2 linked regions of the Styela clava genome follow. The main gene of each other region encodes a partner of the protein of the gene in region 2 in a complex. Links are inferred from orthologs where the notes say so. Each region holds a gene or a part of one and is shown on either strand. Other genes may lie near its edges.

Region 1 (15,928 bases), on a different chromosome or scaffold from region 2:
ATCTACCCTATGATGTTATGATTTGAAAAGGGAACAGAATAATTTTTGAAATGTCAAGTAAGAGTGTGAGCTAATACTGTGCAATAAACTGCTGTATAAAAATATAAAGGATTTAAACCCCATAAATTTGGTTACTTCTAAAAATAAAACATGTGGAGTGTAGCCTTGTTCAGGGTAATAGTGTAAAAAATATGAAAAATGAGAGGGGATAAAATCAACATTACAATAACAGGCGCTCCAGTGTGTGTACCAATATGGAGGTAACTAATTTTGTTCTCCTACTTTACATCAAGTTGTATAAAGAGACTGAAACCTATGAGCAGGGGGGTGGGGTATTCAATTGCCTGACACAGACATAAATAAGGAAAATCAGAAAAAAATTATGGCCTAACCCTAACATAGTACACACACTACGGGAGTACCAAATATATAGGTTAGATTATAACATTCATTGACTAACTTTTCAATATTGCTGAAAACATAAGCAGTCTGACTTCTTGTTTCAATTTCAAAATCGAAGGATCTGCTGCTGGTAGCTGATCCACGAGCAAAATTCACGAAAGCAATTTCATCAAATCGAACATGAATCGGAGGTTTATGGACATACATGAAACCTCTCTCCAGTGGGAAGAGAAATCCTGATGATGCTTTGTAAGTACACATGATGGATTGGTCACTGTTTGGACTGATAAAAATATTAAAAAAACATTATAAACAAATGGTAAAACGTTTAACGACATAATTTTGATAAAGACCAAGTTATACGAAGAAATTTTGTAAGGCATCTCAAAATTGTTTCAATTTATGTCAATTTATTTTGCTTTCATTATTGTCAAATATGATAAAAGAAATCATTCAGTCATTCTGTACAAGAAGCGGAGATTTCAGGCCTGAATAACTGAATTCTGATCAAGTTCATTTTTAAACACCTGAATTCCTTAGACAGTCTCAAATATCAGATACCGGTACTTTGCAGAATTTAGTTTAGTACATTAACTAGGCCTATTTTTATATGTTTTACATGCTACTGGACAAGCTGGATTCAATATTTTCAATCTTAAATATCTTACCCCTTGAATGAACCAGGAACAGTTATTTTTCGTTGCACTAGATTTTTCATAACACGACTTACAACTTCATATATTGGCCCCGACATATCTTTTTGCAATCGATCTCCAAACTTTTCTTCAATTTCTCTCCTGTTTTAAACAACATTTGAAGGCAAGCAGTAAGCAAACAAACAAGTATTTTTATGCATTTTCCAAAAATGTGTGTAAAAATACCACTAAAATACCAACTGTTAGTCCGATACCAATTCCCTATCACCAAAATAATTGGGTATTAATATCAATATGCTGAAATACTATTATCAACTTATAGCAATAATTATAATTTTTGAAATATATGGTGCAACATTTTCAATTTCGAAAATTTATAGAAATTTATATTGCCCTAAAATATCATTAACACCAATTCTCGAAATCTTGTTATTTATTTACTCAGATGATTTTCAAGTGGAAATTGTAAAAATGAGTGAACACAAACCCATTATTTTCAAAATGGCATTTAAAATAAATTTAATATGTCATAGAATCTAACATAGTTTTCACTTTCCTAATATTTAAAATTATTAATCTCAGAAATATTACTAATAATTAATAGTCAACAAACATTGACAGGTAACAAAATGTTACTACAAATAACTCTCTGTGAGTATTGACAAAAATAATGATGTCAATAATATACAAAAACTGTTTTCACCATAAAACTGTTGTTGACCAAAATTTTACTCTGCTTCAACATTCTACTAAAAGAGCACCATTCTAAATAATATTAAAACTATGAAAAAAGTACTTACTCAGACAAAGTCATTTCTACAGACATTTCATCTTCTTTATAAAATAAAAGAACAAGGAAATGATATCTGGTTTGTCCTTGTCTGACAGGAGGATCAAGACTGACCTGAAATAAGTTTGAAAACTTTAAAGTAAAATATTTATAAATAAAAAAAAGCAAAAAAAAATTGAATAGACATTAAATGGAATACACCAATGGTTAAAATAAACAGATCTATGACAGAGAAAACAGAATAATGCAATAAACAAAGAAAAAAATTAGTTACTGCGTTTGTATTAAAAATTTCGAAATTACCACAAAGAAAATTTGTCTCTGATCTCTGTGTGGAAGTAAAAAGAGTCGTAGTATGGAAGTATATGTGATTTTGTAATCGAACGTCTTTCCGTGAAGTTGAACAAACTTTGGATACATTCTAATGTCATATCTACCTCTGTAAAAATAAGGCAAATAAAAACTTGAATCTTTTCATATCTAATTTTTTTAAGAAGAATGTTCAATAACATATATAGCTGTGACGTGAGTTACTTATAATGGCATAAAACCAAGCAATCCCTTCACAGATAATCATGCCCACATGAGCCCCACACATAGTACAATGTGCCAAAACAGCATGACGGAACTCAACTCAATTGGAAATTTCATTCTATATATCCTACAGCTAAGAAACAGTGGAATCAGAAAAGTATTTTTATCATAAAATGGTGCTGAAACTAATGATAAATCAACATATCGTGGCTAATGCTACGACCAATGGCCAACAGTAAATGAGACGCTAAAAGACAAAACACTTCAAATACATAACCAACCTTGGTGTGAGACATTGTAAATCTTGAAATGTACAAATGGCATTTCCTTTCGCTTGCAGTACATCAGCTTTCGATATAACATTATCACTGAAAACCTGTGGATTAAATTCGGAAATTATAAGGAATAAGTCTTGTATATTATTTTTAGTTTTCTGATAAGTACTGAAACTCAGAACAAACAAAAAATATAGGAGAAAAAACCTGCACAGTATCAGTTTCATCGTTTTGTGATGGCGGAACAAAAAACCTCATTTCCATAAGGGATAATTCTGCATCATCATTCTGATGAAATTCTAATGAAACTTCGTTTTTTCCTGGTGTACATTGTGATACATTTTGCAATGGAATTTCAAAAGCTCTTTTTGAGTCAACATCAAACTGTAGTTCATAACCTATAAATTGTCATAAGTCTTCTTTTAATTTTCATATCGTTAAAAAAACAGAAATTAAACATAATATCATTGACATTCTCAAGTCTCTATACAACAGTAGACAAAAAGTGAGCGATTATTACAGGTTATACTTTAAAACAACCCATTCAAATGCCCGAATATTCTTAAATAATTTAAGTCATAAAATATTACTTCAATCATATTATTAAAAGATCTCATGTCTGCTACCTGAATTAGCGTGCAATGAAATATTAAAGATAAAATTAAGATTCCAGTTCTTGAAAATATTACGATTACAACCAATTTGAAAGTGCATTTTTGTGTATGGATTTACTCAGAGTGATAGTTCAATCACATATGATGACAAATTTGAAACAAAATGTAGCCTACCATTGAATGTTGTATCACCCCAGTTCCATCCTTTCGCAGACATGTCTTGTTGTTCAATTGTAACATTGTAATTATTTTTCACATGCTTATTGATCTTTTCAAACTCCTGAAATTTGTATGTTATTGATATTGTATTAATAACCACAACACAACAATCATAATATCCCAAACATGGTGGAATAGCATATAAATTTTGACAATGTTTGAAATGATACAACTATCAGTAGAGGTGCGCGAGACTAACTCCCAATCCTTTCTCAATGTCTTTGCGCCAGTGGATCTGTATGCGTGTAACGCAAGAATGCTGTAGCAGGAATAAAATTGCATATTTTAAATGATAACTGGAAAATACCAGCATATCCGTTACAGGAAAGAAAAAAAAAATGGTTAATTGGGGATGCAAATTTTTCACTATGTAATTACGGTACTCAGAAAATAAGTTAAGCTATGATACAGCATAAAATATTTGCAAGATATATACCGCCTCTTTGAATCCATCGTATTTGCAAGAACGTCCGTCTGTCAACTCAAGTTTCAACTCATATCCCCGAGCAACTCTTCTCCACACAACACTCTCTATGTCGGATAGTGGAATTGTTTCAACTTTTCCAGTTTTTATATTTTTGAAAACGACATTATTATTGTTAAGCCGGAGTCTACCTTCATGCTGAAAAATAAATACCATTTAAATTTATAAACCGATAAAATATCCATATCATATGAAGTTATTGTCCTGCTTAAAACATTGGGAAAAAAATATGAAAACATCACAAGTTACAGATCGCTGGTTCAAATCCCATGATCTCACCTCACCAGAGGTGTTACTAAATTAGGTAGGCAATGCTGTCCCTGAAATAAAAGTCAGTACGGCACAGTTATAATAAGATTTTGCATAATCATCCCGGAGGAGAAGAAAGCCGATACGATGGCTCAATCATAGGGTGAACCACAGTATCTCGTTTAGTTACCGTACGAGTCCATGACGAGTATGAGATTAGTTAGCCAATTATTTGTTTGAGATGGATGAATTTGGTGTTGGAGGAAGCCGTAGGTACGGTAATTGACCAGCTTGCCACAGTTACCACCCTATAATGGCAAGGAGTCCAGAAATCCTCTCGCACATAATTGTATGGCATAGCCTACTGCAGCACTGTTTCACATTTGACACCAAACAAAAACTTTTTATTGTGATTGGGTGGCTTACCCACTTTGCGGCCATGACCTATCTGCGACCATCAACTTCATCGATTAAATTAATGCCGAAAAAATTAACGAAACGCGCCGATATTTCTCACGCGTTATCGTCCACTTATCCCTCGTAGCTCTACGAAATTACACTAAAATGCGGCCACAAATAAAAAAGTTATGCCCGAAAACCTGACCGAAGAAAAAAAACGGACCATTTTACCATGTCGCCAACTACCCATTGTTCCTTCAAAAAAGCTTGAAAATCCATACAAATATAAGAGATAAAGAGATGAAACTTGGCAGGTGGGTAGAGTTGTGTTTCTTTTACCCATCTTTAAAGTTTCGCGTTTCTATCTTCAAAGGAGGGGGAGTAGGGGGGTGCGCATTTCCAATACGTCAATAATATCTTTGTCAACTAATTTGCGACCACCGTGTTTTTGTCTGTTTGATTGCTGTGATGCGGTGCTTTGTTTATAATTTGAAGAATTTTGTTTGAAATAATCGTGTTCTTAAAATATATGGCGGTCAGAAATGCAATTAGAAGCCCTTTTTTTCACGCATGGCTGCGTATGCCCTAGTCTCGACGCAGCAGAAACGATGTTCAAGGCTTGAAATCCGTGGTCGCACACTGGTCGTTCGGTCGCAAATACGTCTTCAGAGTGTCGAACTTTGGTGGTTTGTATAGCTTTAACCCCTGGTTGAGAAAGTTAATTCGAAGTTCAGCGTGTAGAATAAATGCCAATGCACCTACGGTGAAAAAATTAACGGGTTAGAAATATTGGTTTTTGTTTTATAGCGGTTTGAATGAAATCGTCCGCAGACTGGCTACACCACCCTATATCACAGAATAAATTTCTCATGTATCCGATAGTCTAGATCAGATACCGGTACCTAAGTTTTCGATTCGAAGAACTGAAGAATAAACCCCCACATTAAAAGACATCAATTATAAGAGTGAGTACCTATTCCTCCCTTACAAGACAGTCAGTGAAGCTATGGCTATGCGCAGTAAAGGCAAAATGATTAACAATGACAACCCATGATTGACTCACCAACGCGCCTCGAATTTCTTGATAAATATCACTGTAATCCAAAACGCTGGCCGACATGGCAGCTTTACTTGTGTACAGCAGAAGTAATCCAAAGTTAGATCTTCACCAATGAGGCAAAACTAGAAGTACCGGTACTTGTTGTAAAGACTAACTCTATCACAAAGCCTCAAGCCAACCTTGGTTAGATCAGAACAAAGTGACTATAAGTTATAGTATAACACTTTATAGTCACTTTGGATCAGAAGCCTTCAGTACATGGAGTGAATAGAGGGAAAATCCCGCGAACAGTGGTGCGTCCTCCAGCGGAATCTGTAGAGTTCACGAAAAAGTATCTACAATCAAGACTTTCTACAGAAACCTGAAAAGTCGTTTCCAACAAATAATTAAAGAAGACCCGCATTACTGTAATATGTTACCAAGGTTTTGTTCGGTATAGTTAGTGTAGCGGCCATGATTATAAACAGTGACCGCTATTATTGTAACTAAACTGGCAACGGTAACTTAGGGCATCGAACCCTGACCATTGATGTTGGCGGGATCTCTTTCGGCGTGAGCCGCTTGGAGGTAGGACGTATAAATTTGTATCTTAATCAATCGGGGGGGGGGGGGTTAGTATTATTAATTAGGCGTAGTTTAAATTTACATCATATAATTCTACTTCCTGTTTCGTATAGTTATTATTGGTCCCTCCTGTGTAATAGCACTGTATTTTACCGGATTTCTGTTTGACAACTATTGCACCATTATCTGACTACTATTTCACCAACTTTTGACTCAACAATAAACATCTTTGGACAATCATTTTGAACTTTGAAAGGAACTCAGACAGAACCGCGTCATCAAAAATAAAGTGCCTGTACGAGCTATTTATTCCAATCACTCTAACGAGCACATCGCCATCGTATGGTGCTGAGCCGTTATAGTTAGAGTCTTAAGTATACTGTATAACTGTATAAGTAAGAGTTATTATTGGACACGTTTAGTGGCAATAACGATCGTTTCAATATTATTGGACACGTAGTGGACATAACGATCGTTTCAATATTATGTTGTTCTTGTTCTTTGACACGTTTTTAAAAAGTCGCTTTTCTCTTCAAATACTGGACCAATTGCTTTGAAATTTTCAGTGGTTAAAGATTAATTTTTTTGCTAGAAGGCTATTACTTTTATTTATTTCAAAATTTTGCGTGAATTCTATGAAATTTGATATTTCGTCTAAAATTTTGCTGTATTATTTTTTATCCATGGGAACACGGATTTTAGTCAGTGTCATGACTGGCTGTACGTTTTGATTCTGCAAAATTCTTGCTACTGGAAATTCAGAACTTTTTTGAGGGTACCGGTAGCGTCAAAGGTACCGGTAAGGACTGATTCGCTCTGGTCTAACGTGTCCATATATTTGTGCGTAGCTCTCTTGTGTTGTTGTTGTTCTTTGACACGTTTTTAAAAAATCGCTTTTCTCTTCGAATACAGGACCAATTGCTTTGAAATTTTCAGTGGTTAAAGATTAATTTCTTCGCTAGAAGGCTATTACTTTTATTTATTTCAATATTTTGGGTGAATTCTATGAAATTTGATATTTCGTCTAAAATTTTGCTGTATTATTTTTTATCCATGGGAACACGGATTTTAGTCAGTGTCATGACTGGCTGTACGTTTTGATTCTGCAAAATTCTTGCTACTGAAAATTCAGAACTTTTTTGAGGGTACCGGTAGCGTCAAAGGTACCGGTAAAGACTGATTCGCTCTGGTCTAACGTGTCCATATATTTGTGCGTAGCTCTCTTGTTATTAAAGATATTGTTTTTGTGTTTCAAGTAAAAAATCACAGCGACTTCACCCCGACTGTTAAAACGTAAATATATACTACTACGTTAAAGCTATGTACACTGAAGAAATAATATTGTGTGTGTGTATATATCAGTGTTTCCCAACCCGAGCCCGCGGTCTCAAATGAGTCCGCGAAGCGTTTGAATGAGTCCGTAACGAGCCAGAAATTCACTGCGGGTCGCAAGCGATTTTGCAAAACTTAACTATCAGCCAAGTTACGATTTACGTTAAAATTTACATAAAACATACCAAGCAAGTTTATTCACATAACATTAATGGAGTCAATAATCACTGGTTACAGAGTAGCGCTGGGCATATATTCGAATATTCAAGTATTAGAATAGCAATTCAACTACAGTATTCATAAATTTGGTAACAGGTGACGCGATAGGTCACTTGCGGGTAGCTTAATTTAATCAAACGAGTGGATTTCACAACTCACTTGCGGATTTCCGACGAAAACACGCGCCGATAGATGACCTAAGTCCTAAGTGATATTTCTAGCGAGTTCGAACAACGAGGAATAAATTTTTTTCTGGTGTCGAGGGTTGCAACCCAAATTTCCTTAATTGAAAAAAAAGTAATACTAAAAATAAAACGAAAAACACCATAACTTTTGTTTTATGATTATCCGCTACCGATTAAAAACGCTTGCAAATCGCAAAACTTGGTTGCTTCACTGCTACCGTAGTATACCTACCAGGGCATTTTCCCTTAGGATTCTTTGCTTTACTGCCTCGACATTGGTACGTGCAGTACAGGAGCGCCGTAAGTGTTTTAGAACAGCTCAGATTTGTCGAATCCACAAAAATGCGAATCAAAGCAAAATATAATGGGGCACTTTACCACGCATTTTTGTGTCCACGGATTGTCATGAAATTTTCTGAGTAGTATTGCTTTTATTTCGTCAACACAACCGCAGATTAAAATGATCACAATTAAATTAATAATAATAATAACCCAGGGGGGTTCGACCTCATCTCTACTGGCTGGGTCCCCAAGGTGGCGGATAGGGGAAACACCTAGGTAAAACTAGGTCAGCTGTGAATATTCAATAAGCAGCCCCGGACCAAAAAGGTAAAATTTAAAATGATAACTCGACATAAAAAAACTACATAGAGGCTGGGGCGACGCCCTCTATAAAAAGGTCCCAAAAAAACATTGTCAGTATTTCTACTGACACACTCTCACATCACGATATAAGTGGTCCCTCAACAGAGGATATTCCTCAACCGAGCCCCATACGTGAAATATCGGAAAGAAAAGAAAAAATTAAAAAACATCGTTGGAAACGTGAAGAGTATATACAAGTGATGGAAGCGTACTACAGAGCTGTGAGCTCTTCCCCAAAATGTATTACTAAACAAACACTTACAAATTGGCTTGAAGGACCCCACTCTTTGAATGTCCAAAATATGAAAGCAAATGGACTTGCAAATGTCCGACGGGATATAATTTGAAATAACCGACTGACAGATATAGAACTGAAATCCATCAAACAGAAATACTTGGGATCAAGGGATATGAGTCAAAATGACAATGTACATGACGAAAATGGCCTATGTGACAATGTACAAGAAATATTACAACTGCCATGCATAAACTCACCTCAACAAGATTTTAAAAACAGACTCAAATTGCCAAAATTACAATTGACGAAAGAAACTAAAATCTGGCTAGCAGAAGGCAACGAAGCTATTGCCCTTTTGAAGCAAGATTTGGAATTTGATCTGGATGTTACTGAAATATCAAACATTATTTATGCATGTTCAACTATGGTTACTGAAAAAGTTGGAGCAATAATTAGGAAACCCACTGGACCAAGGCACAATTACAAGGCAAAATGGAAAGTAAGAATTGAGAGCCAAATTAAACAAATGAGAGCAGATTTGTCTATCTTATCAGAAATACAAAACGGTAGTATTCTTAATAAACGAACAATGAAGAAAATAACAAATCGGTACAAATTAGATGGGTTACACAGTAATATTGCGGTAATCAGAGAGAATCTAAAGCAGAAAATACAACTCAAGGCGCAAAGGATGGATGCAAAGACCAACTACTAGTAAATAAAATGATTTTGGAAAATTGCAGAACTTATCAAAAACACATGAGTACCGCATGGATTGATTACAGAAAAGCGTTTGACAGTGTACCGCATTCTTGGCTTTTAAAGGTATTCGAAATTTACAAGTTGTCACCTATCCTAATTCCTAATCTCTTTTTTCAAAATTACAATGAAAAATTGGCAAACAAATTTGATCCTGAGGCACAATGACGGAAAGATACAAAGTGACACCATTTCGATTTCATGCGGAATTTTTCAAGGAGACTCGTTTTCACCTCTTGCGTTCTGCCTTGCCTTGGCCCCGCTTAGCACTTTGCTGAAAGAAACCGGTTGTGGCTACGAAATTTTGAAACAAAAAATATCTCATTTATTTTATATGGATGATTTGAAGCTGTATTCTAAAAATGATAACCAACTTGAAATGTTATTGAAAACTTTGAAATCATTCAGTGATGACATCAAAATGACATTCGGCCTCGAGAAATGCGCAAAAGCATCTTTTCGCAAAGGTAAATTATTTAGAGAATCAAATTTACAATTAGATCAAGAAACCTCGATAAAAGAACTCGGTAGCGATTCAACATATCGTTGCCTTGGAGTACATGAAGCTGATGGAATCAGACATGAAAAAATTATCAAAAAGGAATATTTGAGAAGACTTCGATCGGTTTTGAATAGTGAACTTAACTCTGTAAACATCTTCAAGGCAATTAACAGTTTTGCAATACCAGTAGTTTCGTACAGTTTCAATATCATCAAGTGGACTAAGCAAGAAATCAAACAATTTGATACCAAAACGAGAAAACTAATGACGATAAATAAAATACATCATCCTCGAGCAGACACTGAACGTTTGTACTTATCACGAAGGGTGGACGAGGTCTGATTCAAATTGAGGAAAGTTACAAACCATCTACTGTAGGACTGAAAATATATTTGACCGATACAGAAGATCCACTAATGCGCATCGTGCGAGATTTCGATAAAAATAAAAATAGGCGTTTCAATCTTCAACAAAACTGATGAATTTATGAAGAAAACTGGTGTTACTAATTTCTTAACTGAGAAAAAAGGTGCAAACAAGATGGCAAAAGATGTCAAGCTCAAGTATAAGAAAGAAATTTAAAAGCAGAGACTAAAAATTTGGCATGATAAACCCTTTGCATGGAAAATATCCCACTAGAGCATGTGCACTGGATGTAAATGAACAACAAACGCATAAATGGCTAAAGAGTTCAGGTCTGACTAAAGTAGTTTATGCAACTTCATCGCCCCCCTGCACTACAAAAAAATATAAAGTCAGAAACGAATATATTACAGACCAAATAAGAAGACAAATAATAGTTTGTGATGTTTTTTAATGAAATAGATGAGCTTGGTGTTCTTCAGCGAGTTATTTATTATATCTAAAATTACCCCGTTTACTGATGGAAAGGTGATTTCGTTGTTTTAATAGCAATAGTAGCACGGCTGAAAACCCCTTTTTCATCATATAATAGATCGAAAATGAAAGAATCCAGGGTTCTACCTCCTCAAAAACCGCCGCGTACTCTTGCCTTATAGCATTTCACTTCCTAAATTCACCCCATTTCACATTAAAATAATAAAAACAAAGTTAATTTTCCCAAACTTATAATAATGATTTTCGTACATTTGTTTTTGGATTCATTGACTCGAATGTGGAAGAAGCCGTGACTGACTATCGGCTACGCCCAGGGGTCGGCAAATTTTATGTCGCTCGCAGGACAAAATTCAGGGTTGCTAGTCTTTTGCGGGTCGCATATATTTTTTGAAAGTTAAAAACGGAACAGCACGCAAAAACTGCGACAATTCGTGAACTCAACTCAGTCGTCTTATTAAAAAAACATTACAATGATATTTAATGTGACACTGTCTCGTTGCTGCATCACGCTGGATAGCTTTACGACGCCAAGATTGAAACATTTTCTAAATGGGCATCACCAAACCCCCGTCTTTGCTTGTTCTTTGTAATGTTCATTTTCGAAAATAATGATTTGCACAAATATGTACTTCCGAACATTGAAGTGAATATTTTCGCATGATTTGTGAAATTTTGATAAATATTTTCTCTCTAAGAAGATACATTCTTACAAAAATTAAGCAGTGATGAATCTCTCGATTAGAATATGAATTTTATTTTCTTATTGCTTCGCAATATATTCGAATATTTACTGCGCTATTGAACCCCTGCACTCAGCATCAACTTTTCTGCGTGTTTCCATTTGTCTAATTATAATTACATTGTAGGCTCGTTAAACGAGTGGCTGTTCACTAGATTGTTAGGATATAGTATAATTTAGTCTGAACGTGTCTCACGATAAATTCTGTTACTTAAAAAAATGTAATTTACTCCTCGAGCGTAGATTATAAATAAAAAATTTTCATCGTCAAAACCGCCGTTTGGATATTTACCCGGGCATAGACTTCCTTGTTTACTTCGTGACATTGGCCAATCAGCAAGATGCAAAAAAAGGGAACAATGCCCCCTTTCGCATCCGCTCAGGCGCTCAGACACTCTCACTCAGACAGATTTTCAGACGTGGTCGTGAACATTACCTCATTTTCGCATTTTTGGATTATATTCGTTAGTTTTTAGTTGTTTTTCGGAACTTAAAATATAAATCAAATAAGTCAATGATTACTTTGTCTTTCCATGAGTTTCAGTTTAAATACAGCAATCAAAAATTAGTGTAGAAATAGCTGTGATAGACTAGGCTAAAATTCTTTATCGGTACTTTTAAAAAACAGATTGTTGAATGGTGTGTATTAGAATGATAGTTTGAAACAAATACCCCATTTTAAAGGCAACAACTCGCGAAACCACTCTTAAAATAAGCCCCGAAACTTTTAAAATGGTATGTATGGGAAGAATTTTCCGCAGTCAAAGGTCGGGGAAAGGTCCATTCAATGAATCGTCCAGGGCCAGATTATTTTACTCCGGCCGTATTTTGCCGATCACTGGGATACGCAAACTACCTTACCTTACTGCGAAGACGAGACCAGAAATCCATTCGCGTGGGAATATCGCCCACATGATTCAAGCCTGCCAATGCACACAGAGTACAGAATTAAGTGCGCCGAACATAAAACAGGTTTCGCGAAATCGCCCCCCTATCGCCCCCTTAGACTTTTTCGCCCCCCTCTGTATCGTTTTCGCCCACTGGGGGGCGATATCGCCCACTTTGGGAATCACTGGCTATTCAAGCAATTTACTTTATTTATACTTATATTTTGGAAATATAATCTAAACCTTACTACATAAATATGGCAAGGTTCACAATCGTGAAAAAGTTTCTGGTCTGCTGTATGAATTTTAATTGTTACGTGTCGACGAACTTCTAGAAAAGATGCCATTTTCTGAAAAAAAAAACACAACTCGGAGAAAGCGTGCATGAACGTGTTGTAAATATAAAACATTTTAACGAATTAAATGCGTTCTGGTTGTTACGATTTGTCCAGCTCATCAGTACCTATGAGTCGCTATCCAAATTTGGGCTGCCTGAAAATAATCCGGGGTAGCTTTTTTTTTAGGAAAATCTTTAAATTTGCGAAACTATAAAAAACTATTCATCACAAGAATTAAAGTATGGTGTCTCACCTGAAAATTAGGGCGGCGTTTGAAATTCCAGGGGGGTGTAGGGAAATCACTGCATATAACGATAATTGTTTTATATTAGTCGTCAAATTTTGCGGCTATAAAAGAACTACGTGCCGTTTAGTATGCGAAATGTACATTTTTTTCTTCGGATTTGGGTCGCCTGAAGAGAAGTTGGGTATTACCGCTCCAAGCAAGTTTATTAACTAGATATCGATCGGAGGCCGCCGACTTATCGATCTTCCACATGTTCAATATTTTATTTGTCAAAAAAATAAAAAAAATTTCCAATCGCGACATCATGTGACCCATCACTAAATAATTAATAACTAATTATAAGACACGATTCATCCAAAACTAATAGGCCTCTGTTCCGAGATATAATGAATGCACATGCAAAATTTGGATCAGATTCAACCTCGCTTTCGTGAGATACCACGTGCGTTTAACAGACTGACAAATACCTATCAACATACTTACCGATCGAGATCGCTCAGTTATTAATGACAGTTGGGATTTTTTTCTTCCATACTTTTAGTTCAGTACATGTCTGCTACGATTTCCGAGGTTAAGACAAAATTTCCAATCCTCTTTTTTTACTTGAGATAAGAAAAAACACTTTTCGTTTGAATCAAATTTTAATTAAAGAAAAATCATAAACGAATTGGCAGCAATTAAAATTTTATAATCACAATTGCATAGTCCAGATGAAAGAACACACAAATCTTATTTAGCAATTGAGAACTAATAAGACTGAAGTAACAGAGAGAAGCATAAAATATTGCAAATGCTTCCGCATCTCCACATCTGAAGAGTATGAAAAACCACTTTTTGCTCGAAAAATTAACCTTGCAAAAGTGAGAAAATGAAACGATAAATTAAAAATGAATGCCAACGAGTAAAATAAAAAAATACAGGGAAGAGTTGCGTCTATTTAACCACCACTCTTCAAAAACTGTGAATGATTATAATATCTGCAAATGCATTGATGTCGCATTACACACAAAACGAACTTTTACACATACTGCGGTAAAAGTAAACACTTTTGAACACCAATCGTACTGCACAAACACTTTGTCATCATACCAACGCTAATACAACAAAGCATTTCATCCTCAGATAAGCAACACCGAAATTAGATGACATCTCACATACAGTATTTAATAAATAGAATAATGCAGACCTGGATGTAAATCCTCTCCTATCGTAGATTTCCAACATTTTTATGCGGAAATAGTGAAAAATTATTGCTAAAGAAGATTAATGAAGCAACATTTTTGTGGTAATTTTACAGAATCAAATAAATAATAGAACCCAGCATGGATCATGGTTTCAAATTTATTCTAAAACTGATGTTCGCGGGGGGGGTGTTGTATTATGAAATAGATCACAAGGGAGGTACGACATGAAACTATGATTTGAAAAAAACTTCTTATTCAGTGAATATCTATTTGAAGAATTCAGATATTTTAAATTATCATTACTTTTCTATAAAATCAGTGACTTACTGTAAAATAAATAAATACATTCACATAGTCTACCTAAATATCAAGGTTAATGGTCGAACAAGATTTCTTGAATGGGCAACAATTTGAATATGGACATCCATATGAAAAATCATCACGTTAAGTATACCTCTTGCATCATTCATTACATGCCAAATTCAATGTTATTCCCAAAAAGAATTTTTAAAGTGAATAAATTTTGAGTTTCATGTCAGTAAAATAATCCTCATTTCAAAAACACCCAGAACAGTAAAACTACAGTGTTTAACAGTTTTTGATCAAAAAATTAGATTCAATATAACTTGAGAAAAAAATTATAGTAGTATTATTATTTTAAAGAATGAATAGGTAGAGGATGTGCTTCTGTGTTAAACACCCATTTATTAAGAGGTAGAAGATTTCGGTCATCTGAGAACAAAAGATAAAGATACTTCAGCGTTTCTCCAAGAAAAAATGATTCCATTTTGTCCATTGGTTGAGTATTTCTCGGATCCATGACGTTTTTGATCGACGTGTATCCACCAGGCACCTAAACATATGAGAGATTGTAAATTATTCTAAATTGCGCCAATAATACGATATAAAGGTAAATCCTGACAATCACTTTACCTTTGAATATTTTTCGAATGCTTGTGCAGCATCCCACCCCCAGTCTCGATACTTTGTGTCGTTTGTAATTCTCCACAAGTAAAAATATGATTCAACTGTCTCTGGTCTCAAAAGGTTATGTCGATCTAAAGGCTGTCGTAAATATAAATAATTGGAATTGTTATATCAAGAAACAATACATTCCATATCAGGTTGCCAATGGTACTGCCAATACCCATACAGCACTTTTCCATATACTAAAATTCAAAATGTTATAAATTTAAGAAAAATCTCTCATACATTTTCTGTTCATTATTATAGCACATAGTCATTCATCAAAAAACTTTCTTTCATTAAAAAGTAAAAAGGAAATTAATATTAAAAACTTTTTATGATTTATCGTGTCCGGAAAACTTGCTGCATGAAAAATCGCTGCAGGAGCATTTTGCTGTAAAACAAGTATATGTGATAGCATGAAAAATCGCCGCAAGAGCATTTTTTTGTAAAACAAGTATTTGTGATAAAAACATTTAGGTTTATAGGGTAAGGCTCTTGTGGCAATTTTTTCATGCGCTAATTTTCCCTACGCAGCGAAATTTCCTGTGGCGAAGTTTCTGCGACGAATTTTCCCAGAACC
Region 2 (16,301 bases):
CTCGATATGTTCTGAATAATAAAAATGATGCCTGCAGTCAGAATTTGGGATTCCTTGAACTCAGACTTTTATTGGTGATTATTGAAGTCAAACTTTTCTATATAAACTCAAAAAAGTCTTCCTAAAAGTCTATTATATTAAAATGGATTGCAACGCCAACAATCAAAGTTTTATTATGAAAATATGATTTCTCTGGGAATTCAATGCTGGAGAGAAAATTTTCAACCCAGATTCAAATGCATTTCAAATCTGAGTTGATTTGAATGTGTGTATAAATAATCCTTAGAAAATATCTTACAATTCTTTAACAAATGTTGAGTCATTGTTTGCATAAGCCTGGTTGTCGACTCGTCCAATCCCACTGAAAAACGACAGAATTTTTTTTTGATTAAATTATAGCATGTGCAGTACAAAAGGTTGCAAGACAAGAATATGTGGCACACTATGTTGGGTAGAAGTTCCTAAAACTGAGATGCAAGTCAAATCACGGGTCATTAAAATCTTGAGTCAAGTCCGAATGAATTACTGAGTTGAGTCTCACTGGCAGTTAGTTGATGGCAAATGGCAAGTCCAAGTTAATTTTTTGATATCTTCGACCCTTCGTTAAGTCAATGAATAGAGCAGGGGAGGGCAAGGTTTCTGGACCAGGGGCCAAAAATTTTGCCTAACTAGACTGGCAGGCCATGTAAGTGTGGCGTAAAAGATACATTTTATGAACAATATTTGCAATGTTACAAAAACAATAGGCCTCGTGCGAGAACTAGATTAAATCGCAATCTCAACCAATTTATTGAGCTGCTATATTTTGGGTAAAACATCAAAATCTGGATCAAGTTTGATTGTGGCAGCATCAGGCCAGATTTGGTCCGCAGGACGTAGTTTGCCTATGTCAGAAATAGAGCCCCCCCTAACACTGGGGCACACACCCCACCTACGATGATTCTGTGATAAAGATTTACACACAAAAGACACAATTAGAATTATTTCCAATGCAATCACTACAAATTAATATTGGAAAAAAAAATTAAAAAAACTAACCTTCCTGGGCAGAAAAAGTTGATTCTCAGGTATGAATAATCACCTTCTGTGCTCATACTGATATTCTGCCAAAAAATAAAAGATTTTGAGAAAAAAGATTCTAACTATTGTGAAAAAAATCTAAGACAAAGCACTAGTTACTCATACCTTTACAGTAGAAATGTGATATGGCGTAGGGAGACCAAAAATAGGCAGTACTACGGTCTCATATTTTTTATCGATGAAGATTTTCAGATCATGAATGTCTGGTTCTTTGAAAGGCAACAAGGAAGAAGACTTGTAAGAGACATTGGATTTTTTAGACCTGAAAACAAAAAAGTTTAAAATATAACATAAATGGAAGAAAAAGACAAAATACAGGATAGTAATGCTCATATAAATGGATGCTAATGTCAGAGGTAATACTCAAAATGTTCCAATAAAATAAAATCATAAAATTTTAGGTGAAAAATAGTTTTTCATAGAAAATTGAAGAAAAGAAAAGTAATAGCCTTCTAACAAACTCTCCTTTCTCCAATAAGTGTTGGAAGTTTGTTGTAACAATCGTTACAACTTACATTAGTTGCAATGAATAGCGAGTTACACAAAGCAAATGAGAGATCCACTTTTATGGAATTATCATTTGCTCCTGAAGTCGGAATTTTAAGACAAAAGTCAGACAAAAAACGACTTTCAAACACCCACACCAGTTTTTTTCGTGGATTCGAAGTTATGAAATCAGAAGCAGAGTCAATTTAACATATACCGTGAGGATTGTACGTCTTCCTTGTTATCCATCATTCTCTTCTTTGCTTCGTTATTCAACTGATTCGATAATTCTTTCTGATGAGATCGACGTTTCTCTTCCAGAGTTTGTTCTTGCTGGAAAAAGTTATGTCGCGTTATGTTTAGATGAAAATTTAACAATAATTGCCGATCGAGTGTGATTATTAGATGTTTATCCGAGACGAGAAGAACTTAAATCTGGGTCTTCCAAACTGGGGTCCACAGTGATGACTGCACCAGGGGTCGTGACGATATGAAATGAATCTGGTCGATATTAAATGATTGATTTCAATGTGTCATTTTGATTGAGCGCTGCGGACGAATTGTGAATCAATTGCTGTCAGAAATGGCAATTAAAACTTCATTGCCTTTTGCGACAACCTACATGCAGACATGTGTGAGGCAGCATTTTCAGCTTTCACCAATATGATGACAAAGTATTGTACAGGTTGAGAATTGGGAGTCCGTCAAAAATAAGATTAACAAAAAAAGGAGTCCGCAGCCAAAAAGTTTGGGAAACTCTGATTTAGATGACCTAACTGTGTAATTAGCTCATGGTTGCTTGAACAATACCTTCATTCCAAAAAAATTAGTATAAAAAATGCCTGTCACTTCAAACATGGATCTGTTCATGCAGTCATTCCTAGGTGGAAAGACCGAAACTTTTCTGGCTTGACATTACCTGTCTGAGATGCCAACGGATGCCCCAGGCTAGTGGTTCCTACACTTTTTAATATCGTTTCCCCTAAATCGAATTACCAAAATCCCAATTATCCGTTTAATAAAAATACAGTAGTCAGTTAGTACAGTTCTTAGACCAAAAATTATGATAATACTAACACCTATTGCATCATTCGATCAGACTTTAAGATGCTAAACTTGCCGTAGCTTAGCATTTTAACCTACTATTCGTATGGTGAAGTATTACAATAATGTCCCTACAAATCGTGTGACTTAGCTGATTGACTAAATGCGAGCATTGAATGTCAGGTTTTTCGCAGACTAGTCAAAAGTATGGGGATTTCTAGTTCTAGTTTCCAAAAAGTCGCAACCCCATACTTTTTTTTCAATAAGTGTACAATTACCCTTGTTTTCTCCTTCAGAACTGCGTTCCTTGCTCCTCTCCCCAATAACTCAGCAGGTTGTTGTTCTTCTTCGCTTTCTTCCTCGCTTTCATCCTAAAACAGGAAACGTTTGAAGGATAGGGGAACATAGATATTGTAAGGAGTTGAAAAAAAATAACAAGTAATACAACAAAAATAAAGTGTAAATATCCTTAACAAATATCAACTATTCAGAAGATCTCAACAATTGATAATAGAATAACATCGATTCCAGCCAAAATATTTTCAATTTTATCGTTAGGCGAAAGCTGGATATGCAAGACGTTTTGTATGTGATACTTATTGGGTGAATTTTATTATTGCTATGAAAAGCATATCAATTTAGGAATAATGAAAACGACCAGTCAGTCATCCAACATTTCCCAACAAAGGAAGAATTCCTCCCCAGAGAGTAATTTTACTGTTTGAGAAAAAAATAAATTTTAATTTGTATTTGGTGTAGTATCACTAAATATAAGTAATTTAGTGCCATCGTAATACATATTTAGGCACACAATAAAAAATATTCAAAGGCTTGAGTGCAAATTGCTAATACCACCATGCATACTGAGCAAGAATCAAGCATTTCATAGGCTATATATCGAAAATGGGTTGGAAACCACTGTGACTGCAGTGATCATACAGTCATTTATATTTTGACAGGAATTTTTGACTCACTTTCAAAAAAATCGAGATATTTTTCGCTCTCTTTTTATCTTTCGTTAAATTAGTAGCAGGAGCACCATCATTGACAACAACGGTATCTCCGATGAAGAGAGCATATTTTTTTTCAGAATCTTCTTTCGCTTCGTCATTCACCAAATTCGAAATTCCAATGTTTATATTGAAGACCATTCCTGTGAAAGAGGATATTTTGAATAATAACTGGGTAATTAATTGACACCTCAACAAATCTTTAAAATAGATTGCTTGTTTCAGACTAACTAAATTCGGTAAAAAAAAAATGATAGAAAATTGTATGAGAATGAATATTAAATCTAAATATCAAACAAAATCCTTTATGAATGGACAATTCTACAATCAAAATAATTGCTATTTTCCGGACCAAATGACTTGAAGTGCTCCAAGTTTCGATGCTACCAGTAATAATCGATGTTTAATGTAGGGCTACTCGAATATTAGCCTGCTTTACTAAAAGGAATTAAAATTTACCTTTCCTAGCCTTGATTTGATTTTTCCCATTGATCACATAAGTACTTTCTCTGAATTCAATTCCGCAACAAAATCCAAAACTTCTGGTGAAAGAATTCACAAGTTCTGGTTTCTCAGATTTTGTACGTTTTATCACCTCATTATAAACATCACACAAAGGAGTACCTGAGTAAATAAAAAACAAAGATATGGGCGCTCATCTAGTAGGCCAATGTGAATCAAGATGGCGGGCACCTGAACATAGTATGTGTACCAGGTTATGGTTAGGCCATAATTTTATTCCAATTTTCCTCATTTTAGTTCTATTACGAGTTCGGGGACTGGCCAAGTGACTCTCGTAGTATTTGTACCTGAAATTATGGCCTAACCTGGTACACATACTGGTTCTGGTGTCCGCCATCTTGGTTCACATACTACGGGAGTACCAATATAACTATATATAAATTATATCAGTACTTGAACAGTACCTCAATATTTGAGAATTTTATCAATTAAAACCATATTAGATAAATTACCTTGTTTTTCAGAGTACCTAACCTCAAATTTTTAACAGTTGGTTTATTAATAAAAAAAAATTTCAAAAAGAAACAAAAAAATAGTGGTATCAAAACCGAATCAAGAATTACACCAAATCCCAACCTCGTAATGGAACTAGAATAAGGAAAATCGGAATGAAATTATGGCCTAACCTGGTACACATACTACGTGAATACCCAGATTTCAGCTCCAACTCACCATGCTGCAATTTTTCAAAAATAACTTCTTCCATATTGAGTAGAAAAGTATAAATTTCTTGCATTTTTTCTGTCGGATTGACCATCAATGTCCGAACAACATTGGAACAATAGGAACGATATCGGACTCCGAGCATACAGATGATCACACCAAACTGAAGGGTATTCTTGTCACTGAGTAAAATATCAGGATGATACAGATTACACATACATATTTCATAAAACAGATGATAATGCTTTTTGCTCCAAACAAGGCACTGTACAACCACTGATATCTAATTGATCTTTGTTTGGCTCGGCGGTGTGTTGCATCGTGCTAAGCAATAGGAATACGCTCGCCACCTCACCTTTTGTTACCCTGTGTGAGTGCGCAGGTTCGAATCTCATGCGGGGATAGTTATGTGCGAGAGGATTGCTTGACTTCTCGCCGACATAGGGTGGTTCACGTAACCGCTGGTCAGATACGGCTTCCTCCACCATCAAGCCCATGCTTTCGAAAACGAACAACTGGCCAACTTACCTAGTAACACTGAACTTTAGGTTGCAGTTGCTGCCACTCTGTACGATGGGGGGATAACAAGACTCCACATAAGTTGGATCTGCTCCACGTAGATACTGTTTGTCCTCAAGAGATTTTTCAACGTATTCCGCTACTTTGAAATGCTTAACTCTCTGGAAAATTAGCATAAGTATAGTCATCTTGGTTGATTCTTAAAGAGATGGCTAGAGTGTAGAGACAAATATCATGTTTTGAAATGCGCAGGGGGTTGTGCGATAAACTGCCCATCCTTCGTTTTACGTTTTATGTTCTGCAGGATCTGTTATTTGACTCGTGTTACAAGGATGCTTGAATAAGATAAAGTCAGGAGTTTATAGCGACAGGTGAATACAATCTCATTCCATATGCGTGAAATGAGATCTCGCCAATTTGTTATCATGGTTTCACTGTACCAACACCATATCTTAATTCCAAAGAAGTCCTTCTTAAACATCAATAATCATCTGGACAGAACATAGAAAAACCTTAACATAGCAAAGATTAATTCTCTTGGAACATTATGTATGCAGAGTTTTTCGTGAATAAATCAACTTGAACACGGTACGAACCCTATCAGCATCTATAACATCTTTCATATATTCTTTGAAAACTTTGCTATAAACTTCCAAGGTTATTCCTGATGCTTTTCTCAGTAGATTCAATTCCGATTCTTCTTTGACTGCCATTATTGATGCCACATTTGCTGATACATCAATCTAAAATTATGAAGGTGAAGTAATATTGATGAGACTCACAGACAGAGACAGACTTTTATCAAGTTATGATTCCACATTGGTAAACTGTTTTACAGTTTTTTTTTTTGCCTCACCCTGTATATATATAAAACATGAAGAAATACAGATAGAAATGAATAAAATATCTTCAAGAAACAAGTATATAAACAGTATACATATAAAAATAGTAGCTCAGCCATATAATTGATTTCTCAGTACAAAACTTGTAAATTTTTAAAAATAAAATGCCAGAGAATTAATAAAAGTAATAGCCTATATCTGAATTATATTTGAAGAAAAAAATACTGTAGAAAATTAGAGTAAAATAACAAAAAAGGAGCATTCCTGTGACATACCTTATTCAAGTTAGACTTTTTCAACACTTCATTCCATGCATCAATAAATTTGGACGAGAATTTATCTTTTGCAAAAACTCCTATTGTTTTACCCTGTAATGAAGAAAAATTAGTTTGAGTATAAGCTTCATTTCAAGAACCCGTGAAAGCATATAAAGTTATTAACCATAAAATAGCACAAATAAGGTAGGTCTAATAGACAGATCTAGGTGAGTTTATTTCATTATTTTATGTTCTTCTATGTTGTATGGTCTGAATATTTTATTAATTTCATACACTATTTAATCGTTTATTGCTAGTTACTGGTTTGTTACATTTATTAATTTGTCATACTATATGGATGTTTCAATGTCTGGAATAAATAACAATAGAGAAAAGCTTTCAAGAAATAATGATTTTAAACATGGAATAAAAATCTAACAAGAACTTCTCGCCAAAACATAATATATTGATCTTCTAAATCTTAATTAGATAGCAGAACATTGGGTACCGCTGCTCGATAACCGACTTTGGTTCGCCGCGGCTTCCATTCCCCAGTAAAATTATGGTCTTTACTTTTTTGCATATTTTTTGCATTTGTATCTGTATATTATATTACTGGTTGGAAAAAATATACTTGACTGTGACTATGAACCTACATTTTTGCTCGACTTTAAGAACTGAATGATTTTTTGGAAGTTTTCAGTGTTGTTATCTTTCTCCCTCTGAATTAAGTTGATTTCAGGAATTCCATTCGCATTTTCATTGTTCTTTGTATTTGCCGCTGGTTTCAAAAACTCAATCTGAACAAAAAGAATGTTTCTCAAACAAAAGACAAAAAATCAAAAATATTTCAACATAAGCATTTCTAAATATAATGAATATAAAACAAACAAAAAACTCTTACTTTCTTTTTACTTGCCATGAACGATATGCTATTCTCACAGAAAGCCAAGATCACATCAGTTAGCTCGTATCCAAACAACCATGTCTAAAAAAAGCATATAAAATATCTTAATAAAGCTATGCCTGCAGTAATGGCAGTCTGATTTAAGCAACAACAATTTGCTAGTGATTCAGCTATTAAGATTTTGAAAATCAAAATTGAGATATGACCTGGATAGCTGTAGATTTTGAGTAAACAACATCTTCATCACTTCCCATCGCCACGACAACAGCATCTGATTTAGAGAATCCGTCATCTCCACTAGCATCCTATATTCAAAAAGTCTTCAGCTTGTTAGCATTTTGAAAATATATGTACGGTAAATATTATGAAATATAACATACCGATCAAATCCAATTTATAAAATTTCAATTGGGAAACACAAAATGCGTTTTTGAGTATATACCGATACAAATCATTCATAAACAATAACAAAATGGATGCATGCGATCAAAAACGTTTGAATTTTTCTAAATGAAATTTTAAGCATAATCCCTACCTTCCAAGCAGTATATATTTTCTTGAGACGACGATAAAAAGCTTCTATATCCAAGGAAACAGACATGATGATGAATTTAGATTATTAGCATTAGTTGGTTCTATGCTAGAAACAGAAACACTTGTGATTCATGTTATATTGGAATAAGATATTTTCAGAAAAAATAATTCTAAGCAATTCAGATAGTCATTCTTAAATACTATAATTAGATAATTAAATTATTCAGTTGCAATTTTCGAATTGAAATTTCCAATTTTACCTAGTCTATGTATGGTTAGACATAAGTCAGAACAGAATAAATAAACACAAAAGGATATTGAAATGGAATTTCATTGTCATAAAGATAGTCCAAACAGATACACCAATGGATTAATATAACATAAATCAAGCCATAAAATTTTGAATTTCAACAGAATAAGTCTCTATGACGCGGCACTGATGATGGCTTCGTTGCAGTCTATTGCCACCTGCGCTTCAGCCTTTTCAATATCCGTTGTTGCTGACGATAATTCCGCTTGAGCTTTTGTTAAATTTGTTTTTGCGGCATTGACATCTAGTTGATCCAAAGCTACGGCCTCTTCTGCGGCTATTTGAACCGTAGAATCTTCGTTCACCGTAAAAGATCCGCTACTGACGAAAAACTTATTTGATTTTCCATCTTTTTCGAATACGGTTAGAACACCGGGTTTAAGTACTCCGAAAATAGGAACGTGCTTTGCTAGAATACCAATGACCCCAGCCCCGGTGGGTACATCAGCTTGTTTCACATCAGTGCTTTCATTGTAGAAGGCCTCTACTGGAGATGCAAACGTAAAAACCATATCCTCTGATTGTGCAACAGCCGGTGCAGCATCTGCGTAAGTTCTTGTGCTCTGAGCCACCAAACGTCGAGCTACAAGTCCAGTGCGGCAAAAAACACGGGCAGCAAGAGACGCCATAGTTCCTTATTTTTTATAGCTTGACGAAACTATACTAATAAATCTAAAGCAAGATTTTAGAAGCATTATCTACACTCCCATTTAACTTTAATGATAAATTATATTATCGAAAATTATATTATACCCGATAATTAGATGCATCATTACTTATTGATTTTAATCGGTAAGTATGTCGATAGGTATTTGTCTGTATGTTAGATGCACGCCATATCTCACGAAAGCGAGATTGAATCTGCTCCAGATTTTGCATGTGCATTCATCATATCTCGGACCAGAAGCCTATTGATTTCGGGCGAATTATGCCGTATAATTAGAGAGTTATTAATTAATCAGTGATGGGACACAAGGTGTCACTATGGAATAAGAGCGCTGTTTTGGGGGATCCCCTAACTTTCGATCGATAAGTCTTAGGTCAGAAAGACCGATATTCTCGTTTCAAATGTTATGAAAATGATAAAAATATCATGTTCAAATTTAACAAATATCTAAGACTTTATGTATCACATAATTATTGGGTTAGTTGGCTGTTTTTGTATTATTCCAGATGTATAGACATGATGGGTAGAAAAGCTCTAAACTTATAGCATTTTATGGCCTCATCCATGAATGGCTGTTGGACATAGACAGCAGGTTTGAATTTTAGAGCAGCTGCACGAGGTATACAAAGGCTATGGAGTGAGGTGTTTGTAAGGACTTGATCTTATTTTAATTATTTATTTATTTTAAATGTCTCCAGCATAAATAAAAAATGACTATAAATATGGCGATGATCTGTGTAAATTTTTGTCTCAAAACTTTTGAAAAAAAAAAATCATTAGTGCTAATGCCAAAAGTATAAAGAAAGCAAATATAACCAAAAGGGAGTAAAAACGCAAAACGAATGAAAACAAAAATAGCGGTAAAAGATGTCCGACATAGACCACCAGTTGAAACCACATACAGACATGGTGTTGAGAGTATCGATGGCAATTATAAAGACTGGAGATGACATATCGCTGTATTGCGAGCAAAATGTGCCGCAGTGCCAAACTGGATAAATACAGAATATGTGGAGAGCTTCTTCGTGGATGAAATTTTGGGGAATAGAATTTTGTGAGAATGTGGTTTTGTAGGAAAGGATTTTTGTGCAAATGGTTTTTTGCGGGGGGTAACCTTGTGTATTATGATGGAGGTATTTTGTAGTCAAAATATTTGAAAATACGAAAAGAAAAGAAGATGCAAAAGAATGCATCTTTTTTAAAAGGTCGTTTCATAAAAATATGGCCAAAAATCGTTTGCTTGCAGATTTCTTAATTTTCATCAATTATTTCAGTATTCTAAAGTCTTCTATGTCGATTACTGAGTTTAAATACATTTATACTTATAACCAAAAATTGCAATGCAAAAAGAAATTGATTTTTAAACTGAAACTTAGTTTCACTTGCTCAACTGGCAAGATTTAAGGTATTCAAATGTGTCTCATTTTTTCCGCATGGAAAATCTCTCAACAATTTTTTCAAGATGCAAATTCTAGAAAAAAATTTTTTTTTAAGTTATACAACAGTACAATCATTTCAGAATTCCCGCCCTGATAACTTCCAGACCTCCTAATTTGACAATGCCATGCCGCCATTGTTTCATTTCAGTACAGCAGTAGGCTGTGTACAGATGTAAGTGTCAACCGAGACAAAAGAAAAATCTCACCCATATTCTGATTTCCCTCTAGCCTTGGTCTTACCAAAATTATTTTTTAATACAATTTCGAGTTTATTACATTTTTTATCAATCCTAAATACATGAACGAAATCACGGCACAATTTGGCAAAAAGCACCGCCAACACCAGTTGGTCGACAGCGCCACCATTCAGATCTTCTTTGACCTCTGTGAGCCCTTCTTATTCGAAAGCAAATCGCTTAGTTGAAAATGCGAATGGGCGCGATTTCATAGCGAAATATGGATTGAATTTATGACAAATTACTTTGTTCTTCGATGACCGTGAGTCAAATTTTTGAATCGTTAATGCAAAAAAAAACAAAAAACAGAGAACAAACAGATTTACAAATACATACCAGTAATGACTGTAATTTTCGGGCTCTAGCGTCACCCAACAGTTTCATTTAAACAATGTATTATTTGGGACGGGTTTAGTGCTATCCACCGAAAGAAAAATCACTAAAACTGCTTGATCATATAGTGAAAGTGACTCTCGTGTTTGTTTATCATACCGGTTATGTCCAACAAACGTCAAGTATAGACTTCCGTTGTGCAGTTTCTTCATATAAGGTGTGTGTTGGAGTGCAGGTTATACATCTTTTTGAAAAGAAGACCTCAGATGGGCTAGATACGTTACTTTTTTGACTTTCCGAAAGTACGGTAATCCTCGGTTCAACAGTTTAGATAAGAGTTCTATTGATTTAATCAAGTTGAATATATAACACACAACTAGGCTACATGGTATCATACCAAGAGCGTGTGTCTGTTTAGACACAGGCGACCAAAGAATAAAATGAAAAATTTGTTCCAAACCCCAGTACAACTATTTGACATCTACGTGAACCAAATTCTACGGTTTAACGTTTTCGAAGTTAGTCTTATTTTTGACTTCAAGTTCCTAATTCTCGAACGAACTACGAGAAGCGGGGAATCTAATAACTAGAACTTGTCGTAAATAATTACCAAACTACATCTGTATACGTAGGTTACGTATATTGATTTGCTTTAATATGGATTAGAGCATGTTATTAGAATGGCAACACGTAGGTCTACACAACTCGACCAAATACAACGGAGGGAAATAATATTATTGGCAATGAATATTAGCCGATAATACTACGTATTTTTTGTTTTGTTCACAATTTCGTCTATCGTCCCAAACGACCAACGCAATGGAATACCAGTTGGCGCAAAACAGTTTTTAGTGTGTGTGTTATCATGTTCTTGTACCCAAGCGGAGTTATTTTATATATATATTCATCAGAATGTCGATGTAAAATTGTTTTTTTAAATCAAAATTTGCACAATCACCTATCCCCATAATCCATTCTTTTTGTATAAATTGGATTTCACCGCCGTATTTTGCAACGCCCTGGGCATTAGAGATAATCCGTTGACAAAAAACCTAATTTTACATTTTTAAACACCCGACATGCTTCTGGTAAATAACTTAGACGCCGATAGCTTCTGTCCAAGAGGGTTTGCGAATGGAAAGACATTGCTTCGTCGCAATAGTTACGTACATATTTCAATAAATAAGTTGTCTTTGACCAAAACAATAATGGATGTAAATTCGGGATTTATGGCACGATGGAAATATTCGCTGTTAGAAGGGGATGAAGGATCGATGAAAGAATATTTGAATTGTTTATTTTTTTCTAGGCTATATCATAAATAACATACGCAAATAATATTTTATTATAAATTATTCAGTGCTTAGACTGACAAAGTAGCCTTAGGTGGTTCTAATACCCATAATTTTTAAGATTTTTTAGGCAAGATCGAAGCATTGGCATTGACCGCAACAAAAATTAAGGTAATAAAATTAAAAACGTTGTAAAATTTGAAATTCAAAGACACGAAAATTCACTTATGATGCCCATCTAGCGGAAGGGACGTAATTAATGCAATTATTAAATTTCCTATAAATTTTTGAATGCTGACTTGTATTAGTTACTTAGAGTGAATAGTAAGACTCAGTCCCGTTATTAATGCAGGAAAGATTTTTCAGAAATGCAGTATGTGTTATATTGGTTCTGCCTGACTTGATTTGTCCCTAAATAGTATTTTGCAATTTGTTTACAGTATTAATAATATAGATACATATAGCTAATATACGTATACATGTAAATTTTGGAAATTATTGTGCAGCGGATACACATGTCTTGGAATGAAAGTCAAGAAAGTAAAATGGAATATTTTATTGACTGGAGGGTGAAATCTAATTCACAATCTGGAAAGGCATTCAACCACAATGTGTCAAAAGCTAACTCAACATATACAACAACAATTAAATATTATTTTCCAGAGGACCCGGTGGTGAAGTCCATATCATATTCAAATGTATCCAGGGAGGAGCAAAAAATACTACAAGCAATGTATAATTTTGAAAAGCCCAATATGACAATGTTGAGAATACCGTCATTTATATATACAATTTGCTGCATATATAATTTACTGATGCTGTTAAAGTTTTTTCAAAACAACCCCAAAATGGTCAAAAGAAAATCCCACCGTGGGAAAAATATTTATGGAAAACTACTTACAATTTCGCGTCTCTATGTTGCATACTTTTTATCAATATATTTCTTTTATAGTAGTTTTTCTTTCATACTCGAAAGCATGGAAAATATTGACTGTAATATTTTGGGGAGAGTTGAAAATATGCTTTATTGGATTAGTATTTCGTTAATCTATATTGTGTTATGGTTGAGGCAGCGTGTTATATACGGTAAGCCGGTTTTAAAATATTTAGCGTCAAAAGCGACGTCCAATTTTAGCAAAGCAGCTTTAATTACGGCATTGATTTTGCCAATATGCAATATTTCTATCTTTTGTTGGGCAACTATATTTGCCAGATACAAAGGAGTTTGTGCGATTGTAGGATTAAGAAATATACCAAGTATCGCCCTCACTATTAGTGAATTTTTCGTTCCAATCTATGTACCAATTACATTATTAGGTCTTTTTATATGGCCTTTGCTGCGCCATCATGCAAACACGAGACAAAAACCAGGAGATCGGAATTCCGTGATTCGCTGCCTTCCAAAACTGATCTTGCTAACAACAGGTTGTCTTGTAACAGATACGGTTGCAATGGCATGTAATTCCAGTATACCTATTATGTATAGCTTTATTGGCCGTCAAACTTCAGTTTTTGTGAATGCTTTATTTTTGAATCTTTCTTTTTCTGACTGGAGATCGGTAATGTTTCCATGTTCCAGGCGCACACATGGAAGGGAATTGCCAGGTCCCGGTAAAATTCTATTAATAAGAGGCAGTATTCTGTGGGTAGCAATAAAAAGGTCTTCAAATCGACCAAAGTGACAATGCTATCGACAAATTTAGAATATGAATACCACCGTGTTTGTTTACCATGATCCCTCGAAGGCATTCCGTTCTAACAACAATTCATAACCCTAGCGTGTCGCTTGACCTTTTAATTCTGATTATTTCTTAACAATATGTGTCAAATGGGTTAATTGCCAAGCCACCTGCACAACGATGACGCTTATTATTAACAAATATATACGTGAAATATCAATCTGACTGAACAACAAAATTTCTGATTTTCTGAAAGTGAAAGTTTTTTTTTGTGTGGTATTTTGCGTTAGGTGCCGTCGTCCATAGGCCTAGTTTGTTGCAATATGCCGGAAAGCAAAATGTTTTTTCTTACAGTTCCCGATTATTACTTATGCTTCATATGTATTACCTGAAACAAGACCTAACGGATTGTGTATAGAAGTCAAATGACTTTTTATGGGTATTATTTATGATCTACTTTATTTTGGTAGTCGTGTATTGTTTTCTATTTTATTTTTGTTTTAAATTTACTTCTTACGTTATTAAAAATGCATGTTTTATGTTTATATATATATACATTGTTCCAAAATATATAAAAAACTGTCGTCAGCTAAATATCCAAAACCACATAGGCTGTCTTTAAAGTGGCGTGAGTAGTCTCGAATCATGGGTATACCTGTGTGATAGGTACATAGAATTCTCGATGTAATAGACCCAGTGGTGGGATTCAAATTTTTTGTCAACCGGTTCCACCATACAAATGTTATATTTTCAGGCGGTTCTGTTACAAAAAGTCATTTAATGCTAACCGGTTCGCTGATCTCATAAAATTCCGTGAGATGGTTCTATAGAACCGGTGCGAACCGGCTGAATCCCACTACTGAATAGACCCATTCTGCATTTTGGGACCAAGAATGGTACCGTGTTTCCCGAAAATAAGACAGAGTAACTATCAAATATACGAAAGATGAAAAGCTTTTTCTATAAATAACATATATATTTTTGATTGAAAAAAATGCTACACACAGATTATTCAAAAAAATGACCGATCATCTGAAACGAGTATAGAAGAGAAATCTTGTTATCGACTAGGTCAAAAAAATATTCGCGATATCGACTAGGTCTTATTTGAGAAGGTGGGCGTATATCAAAATCATTTTTAAAATTCAGGCTAAGTCTTATTTCGGGGAAACACGATATTAAATCGCTCACTGGATTTCGAACCCATCTCGCGACCACGCAAAACATTTTGACCACGAAAACATAAAAGCGTATGCATAACCGTGTGCATGAATCACATGGAGAACGTTCATTCAACAAAATAGCAAACGCTGCAAAAGTTATAAAATCTGCACAGAACGACCATGAAAAACAACACGACAATTAGTATATATTAGTCTCGTTAAGCTTTCTGTTGAATTAAATGGAAGGTTTTTCTTATACCCACCTCCGTGGAAAAGCCAAGATGCCATTCGCCGAGTCGGAAAAGAAATGGATGGCGCGTCGGAAGCGCGCAAGAATGGAAATGATAATTCGTGGCAGCAGGTTGTATACATACCTGATGGTTGAATACAACAGTTAATTTAATGCAAGAAAAATGACTATTAGCATCTTCTACCTATCGAGAGATCAAAGTACGGACACGAAGATCACGCATCGGTACTTGTACAATAGTACTACGATGAGGTCTGGGAGCTAGTTCGCAAAGATCAATGCAGAAGGGTCGGGTATTACCGATAAAAAGTTTTCCAATTTGATTTGAACTAAAAATGCAAAATTTTTGGTTTGATTTTGGGTATGGACAAACTACGGCCCGCGGGCCAAATTCAGCACGTTAGATAATTCAATCTGGCCCGCCCGATTCTGCCGAAACCAAAGTAAAATAAAATTTCGATGTTTCGACTAAAATATAGCTCAAGGAATCTGTTGAGATTGCGATTAAATTTAGTTTTAGCAAGAGGCTTATTATTTTCCACCTTTGCTTTTGTAACACTGTAAAAATTGTTCATAAAATGTATCTTCTTTTTACGTCACACTTACATGGACCGCCAGTCTAAGTGGGCAAAATTTTGGGCCCCTGGTTCAAAAACCTTGCCCACCCCTGTGTAAGACCGTTAGATGTTGAAATCGTTCTATCCATAGGTTGCAGAGAAAGACAAACGAAAACAACAACAAGGTAAACCCCAACAGCAACAAAATGAATTTAACAAATGACCCATATATATATCATATATACTTCGTACTTTGTGTCTAATGATGCCAGTTTGAGTGATATATATGTTGTGAACCTCAATGACCGAAAACCGCTAAATTACCTGGTGGGTTTGCAACGATACCGTTACAAATATAACGCTCACGACATGCGTTAATAATTGAGCAAATTCAAAACAGGATCGATGCTCATTCGATTTTCTCAATAGTATCAGGGTATGATACAATAGATACCTATAAATATTGCGGTTAGATTGACGCGCGGAAAGAATATTCGTGAAACGTTAGGGT

What was found.
Region 1: FACT complex subunit SPT16-like (region 2) and FACT complex subunit SSRP1-like share a complex: the UniProt entries of both Drosophila melanogaster proteins name them as parts of the FACT complex. The link is inferred for Styela clava from reciprocal best matches to the Drosophila melanogaster genes dre4 and Ssrp.

The regions. Positions count from the first base shown.
Region 1 is NC_135254.1:10,879,003-10,894,930, forward strand, and holds the start of FACT complex subunit SSRP1-like, read right to left. Parts: upstream 5,951-15,928; 5' UTR 5,743-5,950; coding exon 5,686-5,742; intron 4,113-5,685; coding exon 3,927-4,112; intron 3,552-3,926; coding exon 3,446-3,551; intron 3,056-3,445; coding exon 2,865-3,055; intron 2,759-2,864; coding exon 2,664-2,758; intron 2,288-2,663; coding exon 2,152-2,287; intron 1,963-2,151; coding exon 1,859-1,962; intron 1,200-1,858; coding exon 1,071-1,199; intron 686-1,070; coding exon 461-685; intron 1-460. Other genes in the region: uncharacterized protein LOC144422860, read left to right, coding at 9,752-10,468; endoplasmic reticulum mannosyl-oligosaccharide 1,2-alpha-mannosidase-like, read right to left, coding at 15,032-15,232, 15,313-15,444. UniProt on the Drosophila melanogaster protein: Component of the FACT complex, a general chromatin factor that acts to reorganize nucleosomes. The FACT complex is involved in multiple processes that require DNA as a template such as mRNA elongation, DNA replication and DNA repair.
Region 2 is NC_135262.1:5,709,788-5,726,088, forward strand, and holds the start of FACT complex subunit SPT16-like, read right to left. Parts: upstream 7,989-16,301; 5' UTR 7,932-7,988; coding exon 7,866-7,931; intron 7,636-7,865; coding exon 7,537-7,635; intron 7,412-7,536; coding exon 7,328-7,411; intron 7,224-7,327; coding exon 7,080-7,223; intron 6,535-7,079; coding exon 6,442-6,534; intron 6,068-6,441; coding exon 5,921-6,067; intron 5,486-5,920; coding exon 5,334-5,485; intron 4,988-5,333; coding exon 4,815-4,987; intron 4,245-4,814; coding exon 4,080-4,244; intron 3,764-4,079; coding exon 3,585-3,763; intron 2,982-3,584; coding exon 2,889-2,981; intron 1,900-2,888; coding exon 1,784-1,899; intron 1,343-1,783; coding exon 1,186-1,342; intron 1,104-1,185; coding exon 1,039-1,103; intron 362-1,038; coding exon 299-361; intron 12-298; coding exon 1-11. Other genes in the region: ATP synthase F(1) complex subunit delta, mitochondrial-like, read right to left, coding at 8,288-8,803. UniProt on the Drosophila melanogaster protein: Component of the FACT complex, a general chromatin factor that acts to reorganize nucleosomes. The FACT complex is involved in multiple processes that require DNA as a template such as mRNA elongation, DNA replication and DNA repair.